Oryzias latipes: one gene and its partner. Each later gene encodes a partner of the first gene's protein in a complex. Links are inferred from orthologs where the notes say so. Each region holds a gene or a part of one and is shown on either strand. Other genes may lie near its edges.

What was found.
Region 2: the proteins of bcar1 (region 1) and sh2d3c are in contact, whole or in part, in a crystal structure (PDB 3T6G), measured with the Homo sapiens proteins. The link is inferred for Oryzias latipes from reciprocal best matches to the Homo sapiens genes BCAR1 and SH2D3C. Residues at the interface, in NP_055382.2 of Homo sapiens: Ser739, Gln742, Phe746, Tyr747, Gln750, Asn754, Val779, Ser782, Lys783, Ile786, Leu787, His790, Val793, Phe794, Ile795, Asp797, Thr798, Arg801, Gln802, Ser816, Asn817, Cys820, Leu823, Arg824, Val827, Lys831; in NP_733745.1 of Homo sapiens: Thr543, Val544, Pro545, Val547, Gly616, Val617, Arg618, Glu622, Thr625, Leu626, Pro627, His628, Leu749, Leu752, Leu753, His771, Gly772, Val773, Glu774, Val776, Leu777, Leu780, Glu781, Ala783, Arg784, Ala787, His788.

The regions. Positions count from the first base shown.
Region 1 is NC_019864.2:4,911,799-4,916,191, forward strand, and holds the start of bcar1 (breast cancer anti-estrogen resistance protein 1), read left to right. Parts: upstream 1-1,486; 5' UTR 1,487-1,599; coding exon 1,600-1,614; intron 1,615-4,393. UniProt on the Homo sapiens protein: Docking protein which plays a central coordinating role for tyrosine kinase-based signaling related to cell adhesion. Implicated in induction of cell migration and cell branching. Involved in the BCAR3-mediated inhibition of TGFB signaling.
Region 2 is NC_019870.2:15,523,028-15,526,844, reverse strand, and holds part of sh2d3c (SH2 domain-containing protein 3C), read right to left. Parts: intron 2,792-3,817; coding exon 2,525-2,791; intron 2,425-2,524; coding exon 1,995-2,424; intron 1-1,994. UniProt on the Homo sapiens protein: Acts as an adapter protein that mediates cell signaling pathways involved in cellular functions such as cell adhesion and migration, tissue organization, and the regulation of the immune response.

The DNA of each region.
Region 1 (4,393 bases):
ACTTGAAGCCAAATGAGGCTAAAATGAACTCTCTTTTTGTTATCCCACATGCTCCTCCTCCTCCTCCTCAGGTAGAGCTCGTGTGTGCCTATGATTGCCTATGGTCTCAGTACAGTGAACTCACAAACAACAACCCATGAGTCACAGTGACGGCTCAGCTGCAGCTTCCTTGGATTACTGAGAGTGGTCCGGGGGGGGGCTTTGTTTTCACAGCTCTGCTGAGGACACAGAGCATCACCGAAGAACTGCGGGTAACTTCTGCTTTGTTCAGGGATGGATTACAGGGTGAAGAAGACATCTTTGTGGATCATGGGTGTGCTTAGAGCTGACAGTATAGCAGCTCCGCACCACACACTCATCCACGCCCGTCAAAGAAGTGTGTGAGCAGGCTTAAGCTCAGGCCTCTGCTGCCTTTGTAAGTGTAGGTTAGGAAAGCTCATAAACACTGCCTGCTCTGTGGAGCATCTCATGAACGCCACATAATCATTTCTCTTTGTTTTGATCCTTCAAACCTTAAAACTTGTCCTGTAAATAGGAACCTTTTCTCGCACAGAAACCACCACTAGGGGCTTTAAAGCAGCTACACGAAGGGCAAACAGAGCAGGAGCAGCAGGCTGAAGGCAGGATAGCTAATCCAGTTTTTATTGGACTGAAAACCAGCTTTGTGTGCTTCTGATGGTTTGATTCTCCCTGCTGTGCAGAAGGGCGAGGTGCTTTGAACCAGTCATCCACTGTATTTTTTCATCCCTCAGGCAGCTATTTGTGAGTTTTTACCAAAGCAGGTTGAGCAACACCAGGCCCCTCCCACAGCAGTCTGCCCTATGCTCCAGGCTACATAATCCCTGCTGTTGTTACTCCTGTTAGTCACGGCCTACAGCAGGAATTTTTCTGCAGGAATCATCCCTTGCCAAAACATAACTAAATAGCTGGCGCTGCAAATAAAACCCTGATTTTGAAGTGTTTGGTGCGGCGTAGCGTTGCAACACACCTGCTTCAGGTCCAACACATGTAGGTTCACCTGGAAAATGTATGGGCTTTCCTAACAATTCCATGAGACATGAATATTTAGCAGCTGATAAACATAAAGAAGAAAAGAACGAACATGAAGACTTCAAGTAAGCTAATCCTTCAGGGAAAACCCAGATGCTTTTTTTCTTTTACAAACATTTTCCCTCACTTTCTTCATAAACTACATGATGCTTTTTCTACTGAAGTCTTTTCGTTCTCAGTTTGTGACAGTCTGAGTTGAAAACGCTGTACAGAGTTTTTCATTTAACATGAAATGGTGTTGGTGCAAAAATGCTGAACTGATTTCTGTTCAGGCGAAGAGAATGACCATTGCAGCTCCAGGTAAATGCCGTGGGTAGAGGTTTCTGTCTGCATATTAAATGTGCGCACGATACTGTTTCTTAAGAACTGACATGTCAAGACAGGCAGGAGCAGTGGGGGAAGAAACGATGAAGCCAGATACAGAGGGCTTTTGCTTCTGAACAACCTAGAAGCCGCAACAAACGTCGGGCATAATTTGGTTCGTCAGTATTCTCTGCGCTGAAACAACTGATCATGTTAGCTGCAGGGGTCTGCTAACATTTCTTTGGCATGCAGTGCGATCAGGTAAGAAGTTCTGCTGGAACTCGAGGGTTTTTCCACCCAACAGAGTTCCAGCGACGTCTTTTCCAGTGCTTCTGCATTCCATCGCCAAGCGGTTCTTTAGTTTGATCAGTGGGCTGCTCTACATCTCTGTGAAAGCAACGTTATGTGAAGGTTATGGTCGTGTTTCCAGTAATCACGCCAACATAAGGGAGACATAATGTGTACGTTTTAAGGTTGAAACAAGAAACCAATCAGGCTTTATCAGGGTCTTCAGAAACTGTAGTCTTCACAAAAATTAGGATTGTCTTAAACATTTAGGAAATGAGAACACTCTGTTAGTTTACACTTTGTGGATGTGTTTTTCAGTCCTGTGGTCTACTGGTCTAAAGCCACTAAAAACATTGTTTTGCACATTTGCTTTCATCTCCAATGAAAAATAAATAGAGTTGGCAAAAAAAATGTACCTCTTAAAGTAAATTTAAACAAGAAGGTAAAAAAAGTGCCTGTTCATTTCTGCTGTGACGTAAATTGGAGCAGATCGGACACTGATTTGTCAAAGGTAGATATGATATTTATACCTTTATTGATTTATTGACACTATTTGTGACATTTGAAGAAGGATGTTGCTTTCTTTCTATAGTTCTGGGATTTTCCCAAACAGAAAATCTGGTCCTGGCCAGCAGAGGTTTGACAGGAAGATACGATGGGATGCGGCCAGTTTGGCGTTCCATTTTCTTCGCTGCTGTCATTCCAAACTCATGTTCACTTTCCATTAAAGCGTTCGTTCCCTGTGAGGGATTCAGTGGTGGACTGGCTCAACATACAGTGGCTACGGAAAGTATTCAGTGGTCACAGTGTTACATTTTTCACTCTTTGCATCATTGTAGCCTTTTGCCAAAATTAGGAAAGTTCATTTCAATTCTCAGTCATGTGCGCTGACTTACGGAGCCCGTGAAGGGACATCCAAGTGAAAGCAAAGAGTACTGGTTTCTCAGGCGCATGAAAAAGTATCTGTTGCTCAGAAGAAAGTAAGTGGTCATTTGTGCACAGGACCACTTTTCAGAGTTAGTTGTCATGTCCCCTCGCTATATTGCGCTTCACTTTTCGTTTCGTTTTCACATTTTTTTCAGTGCAGTTTTTCCTTCTTTGTCTTTATGCAGGGCATTGACTGCATTCTGATTGGCTGTTGTCCATATCAATCAATCTCCTCTGTACCGTCTCTCTATACATGCAGTTTGACTGTGAGGATAAATCTATGATTGTAATCAGATCTTTGTTTTCATTTTATAGTCCTTAACTTATTTTTCTGGGAAGGTTTGAACTTTAAGAGTTTAAACAAGAATGAAAATGTTCATGTCTGAGAACAGTGTAGAAAGTGTGCTGTGAGGACTTTTCCGCCTTTAGACCATTGACTATAATAGAGAACTGGACTGAGGGAGTGTGACATCACCCATAAAAAAATGCCTTGCTTCTGGTTCCAACGAAATTAAGTCAATTCAGTCGCCATTGTCCACGACGGTTGTCATCCAGCGGCGCCCCCTGCATCCTCAGTTGTTGTCCTGCAATGAGGCTCACTCTTGGTTCCGCCCAACCTGCCAGGACTTTATTACAGCAGACGCTGTGTCGCATTCTCTCCGGGGGACGGGTCATTCCCCTCTTCATCCTCTCCCGGTTCAGACTGCGCGCACTCCTCTCCTGGTGCAGTATGGATCCGGGAGGCGGGTAACCCTGTCCTGGTCTCCTCTCTATCCTCCTTTCTCGTCCTGGTCTCTCATTAAAACCGATTGATGCCAGGTGCCCACCTGTTGTCTGTTCTGCAGTGACATCCGTGAGGAGTTCAAGGACCTCAGAATTTCCACGAACGACGTCACAGTTCAGAACAAGGAGCCCAGAATTTACACAATAAAGACACACCCTGTCATCATTACATGAGTTATTGAGTTTTATGTTACCTTGCAGCTTTTCTTGTCTGGCGTCACCTTTGTGTTATCGCCTAAAGCCAGTTCTAAAGTCATGGGGTTTGTTTCAGCTTTGGAGATTCACTTGCTTTGATCAACTAGTGTACTGCACACGAGTTTTTTTGGTCCATGACCTACTTTCTGGTGCTCACCAGAATTTCTCCAGTTCTATCTTTTTTCTTCTATATTACTTTAGGGGCTCCAAACTGAGTGAACTATCTTGATAGAAAAAATCAGAGAGGTAGAAATTCCTGCCTATTAACAAGAAAGAAAAACTGAAAAGTCACATGGTCTAAGTATTGAGTAGAAGCTTCCGTTTTAGCTGCTACAGCCATGAGTCTTCTTGGAAATTATGCAACAAGTTTATCACACCTGGATTTGGGGATCCTCTGCCTTTCTTTCTTGCATATTACATGGTGAATGTTGGTGTTCAGCCATTTTTAGGTCTCTCCATACATGTTCAATTGGGTATAGATCAGGGATCTGGCTGGACCAGTCTAGAACAGTCACAGATTTGTTCTGAAGTCACTCCTTTGTTATCTTAGTGGAGCGCTGTGGGTCATTGTTTTATTGGACGGTGAACCTTCTGTCTGAGGTCCTGATCACTCTGGAAGAGGTTTTCTCTCAAGATACCTCTGTACATGTCCCTGATGCTGAAAAAATAACCTAAAGCATGATACTGCCACCATCATGTTTCACTGTTTACTACCTTGCTTTAAGGCCCAAAGCGCTTTACAGTCTCATTCTCCCATTTATACTCACTGATGATGATCTCTATAGAAATGCTGGTGAATTAAATGCAATGTTCAATCTTCTTTTTCTTTAAAAAGAGGTATTCATAG
Region 2 (3,817 bases), on another chromosome or scaffold:
AAAATGTTTCTGGCACCATAACTCACTCTTTAGCATTTTTGAAGGATCCCTATCATGTGTCAAAGCCCCACTGTGCAGCGGTTCCCAAAGCCCTGCTGGGGTACTCCTGTGTAGCCTTTGTAGTCCAGAGCTAGAGAAAGCTAAATGCTTAATTGGGATCTTGGGCAACTCTTAGCTGCATGTTCTGCCTCATGGGGCCAAAAGCAAAGTTGTATTACACACGCATACAAAGAGGTCAAATCAAAGTACCTCATTACGGCAGTGTGCAGCTATCCGGGAAGTGCAGCTTGAAAAGGGCTTGAAAAAATTCCACGCAAAAAAATCCCATCTTTGTTATTTGCAAATTAAATTATGTCAATATATGCTTAAACTGAAAAGGTTCCAATGCTCCCCAGACCAGAAAATGATATATTTACCTGAAAAGCACTCTTAGAAAATCAATAGAAACTAACAAAACCAGCAGAGGTTTTTGCTTAAAAAAAAAAAGTCTTAAAAAATGTAAATCTATAACTGAAACATCAAAATGATCTTTTATTATTAGCATTAGACAGTTTTGCTGAAATTAAACAAACCATGCAAGGTACTTTTTTGTGGTGAAACAATTTTTGATTTGATTAAACCAAACCAAAAAAGATTCAAGAATGCCTAACAAGGAGCTGCAAGGATCTGTTTCAGACAGTCTCTGGTAAAGAGGAGCACAACTGCACTGTGGACATGGATGGACAGGCTGAGAGTCTGATTTATGGTGGAACTGACAGAAGGGGGAAGTTCTTTGTTGTGTCTACATGTAACCCGCAGCAAGCACCACACAGCTTTATCTCTTGTGCTCCCCGAGCTGCAGTCACAGACATATGCATGGTTCTATGTACACAAACATGCAACACAAAACTCAATTTTCCTTTAGCATGTCAAAAGAAATGAGTAAACACAACATGCTTTCCTAAGAACGTGTGGGAAAAATGAGGTTGCTTTTCCATCTTGTGTCTGATAACTTTGTTAATAAATCATTTGTGCTTTGTGTCCAAAAATAGAAAAAAGATACCACGTGAAATCATCCATCCCACAAGTAAGCAGCAGTTTTCTTGCAGAAAATAATCGATAAAAGAAATCAATGTTAAGCTCCTTTAAAAAAAAAGTAGAGGAATGAATTCTGTTAACTGCTGACTGTATCCCCATCATCTGAGAGGAATCTTTCCTGTGGGCCCAAAATAATTCTTCAAAGTTTTTAGCAGGTTAAAATATCTGGATTTGTCCAGAAAATGTATCTTCTAAATCAGCTACAGTGATTTGGGTCCATAATTATCTCAAAAAAATTACAAAAAGCTGTTTCATGGAGATTAATATGGCAAATAAGGCAAAGATTTGTTATACCTCCTTTGAGATTTTTGTATTTTAAATGCAGGATATAAAAATTAGTACAATGATAGTTTCTGGACAAAGAGCATTTTCGCTTTAGCTCCTTCTCTCCTCTTTGTCTGACAGCCTCATAAATATTTCACAGATTGAACTAAAGTGGCAGTTTGATGCAACATGTTGTTTTTTTTATTTCATATTGTAAAATAAAAAAAATTGAATTTTAGGATCATAATGATTATGTGAAAACATTGGAATCAGAGTATACATTATGACATAATGCATTAAACCAGATTGAGATGAACTGTAATTTACTACAGGCTTATAAATGCTCCAGTTGGCACTGTTGATGTACAGCGATTTCATGTACATTTTTTATTTGTGCCCCACATTCTGATCAGAATAACCTTTCGATTATATTTTTATCAATTCTGTTAAAATTAATGACTAATTTTGTAAAAGAATTATAAGAAATTTTCAAGCACCTCTGTTAATAGGTACATTTATAAAATGTAGTACATTTACTTAAATACGTTTGTGTAAATTAACCTTTATACATGATAAGGGAAGCACAGGGGAAAACAGTTAGATGCCACACTAAATTTCTTTGTTTAAAAAGTGAATAAAATAGTTCAATTCACCTGGTTAGGTTTAATGAGTCATGCTGTTTCTTCTCTTCTTTACTGTCCTCTTCCTTTGGAGGAGAAGGGGGCGTGGTTTCTGAGCATCCACCTCCTTGAGTTTCATCTCTTTCTTGGTCCAGATCTGCTGAAGCAGCTTCTTCCTCTGATTGGACTTTATCCGTCAGACCACCAGGGGGCAGCAGATCTTCACAGAGACTCGGTGCAGGTGCATTGCTGTGGTCTGTACTTTCACCTGCAGGCTCAGACTGTATTTTAGAGGTAGGTGGGGATTCCAATTTGAGCTCCATCCTGTTTGTAGTAGGTATTTCCTCCTCATCCACTCTGCACGGCACTCCTGTGGGTGTTGAAGGAGGACAACCCTGGTCTCCTGAGGACTTCTGGCTTTTCTTCTGGTTGTTGCTTTTTTCTCTGCTCTTCTTGAGATCTCCTGGCAAAGAGAAGAAAATATATATTATTTTTCAGAAATAAATGTTTAAATTTAGGTCTTTAAAGAACGATTGTGTTCATTCGTGATTTCTGCTGCTAACCTTTATCACCCTTTTCCTTCTTCTTACTCAGCAGCCGGGGCAACGTGCACATGTGGGAATAGTCTTCAGTGGAGCGGATGTAGCTGGCGGTGCGAGGACGCATGGCCTCCATGTCATCCTGGACCGTTTTAGGAACTGGACTGAGTCTCTCCGAAGCCCCATGCTCACTCCCATGGCCAGGAAAACCCCCTGCTCCGGCTCTGGACTTGGAGGCTTTTTTGTCATTGGAGCGCCAAAAAGAGTTCAAATTGCCAAACCACTTGAAAGCTTGGAAAGAGGGGAGAGGAGTCAGTTTGTTTTGACAGCTATGCAGTTAGATGTTGATCATAAAAACACATTTTTTTTCATCCCTTATTTATGCAGCATTTTGGCAGTATACTATTTATTTGATGTTTTCCTGACTAATAGCTTTAAATATAGGCATTTTCCCCATAAAGCATCTTGTTTGGACCTCTTTACATTTTTCTTGCTCAAGCACTTTTATGCAATATTTAGCTTCGGTGAAGAAATATAACATTTTAAATAATTTCTTTGAGTCACTTTACGATGCAGAACAGATGGAAGACATTTCCCACCAGAATACACCAAAGATTTCTCTAGACTCAAAGGTTCAGACCCTCCAAAGCTCCAGTGTGAATGGTTACCTTTCCTTTACCCCCTCTGGTGGATTCAAAACTTTTAAATAATGAAATGAGAACATTCAGCACTCAATTAGGATTCCACTCAGTTAATACATCAATGCTTAATAATTCAACTGGATATTTCTCATTTGCATATTTAATACACATCTCTCTTTGTTGATTAATTTTCTATTTATTCAGTTTTGTATTAATACTCTTCCCAAATTTTGCCTGTCTTTACTCTCTTTTCAAGGATTTCTCCATGGTGAATTTCTTTGTGCTTTAGCATGTTAACGGCCTCCCTGTCAGTGCTACAGGGGCAAAGTAAAGAAAATTCAGGTCTTCCTTCTTGTGGCTGCCAAATTCATTTCATAGGGTTTACAAACACTCAAAAAAAATTACTGAATAAAATAATAGTTTTTTTTGTAATCATTACCATGTTTTTTTCTTTAATCTTAATGTTTTTGCAAAAATGTGGATTTAGGAGCAAACAGTCGGTCGTCTATGCTTGGGACTGGTGAAATTAAGAAGTGTATCTGCAGTTCTGCTTGTGTAACTCTGCTTATTGGATTTAATCAAATTGGAAGGTTTTTGTTTCTTGTTCTGTTTTGATTTTTTGTGGAGGGTGATAAAAACAGCTCCAAAAATATTGCTGGGCATTTAAAAATGATGT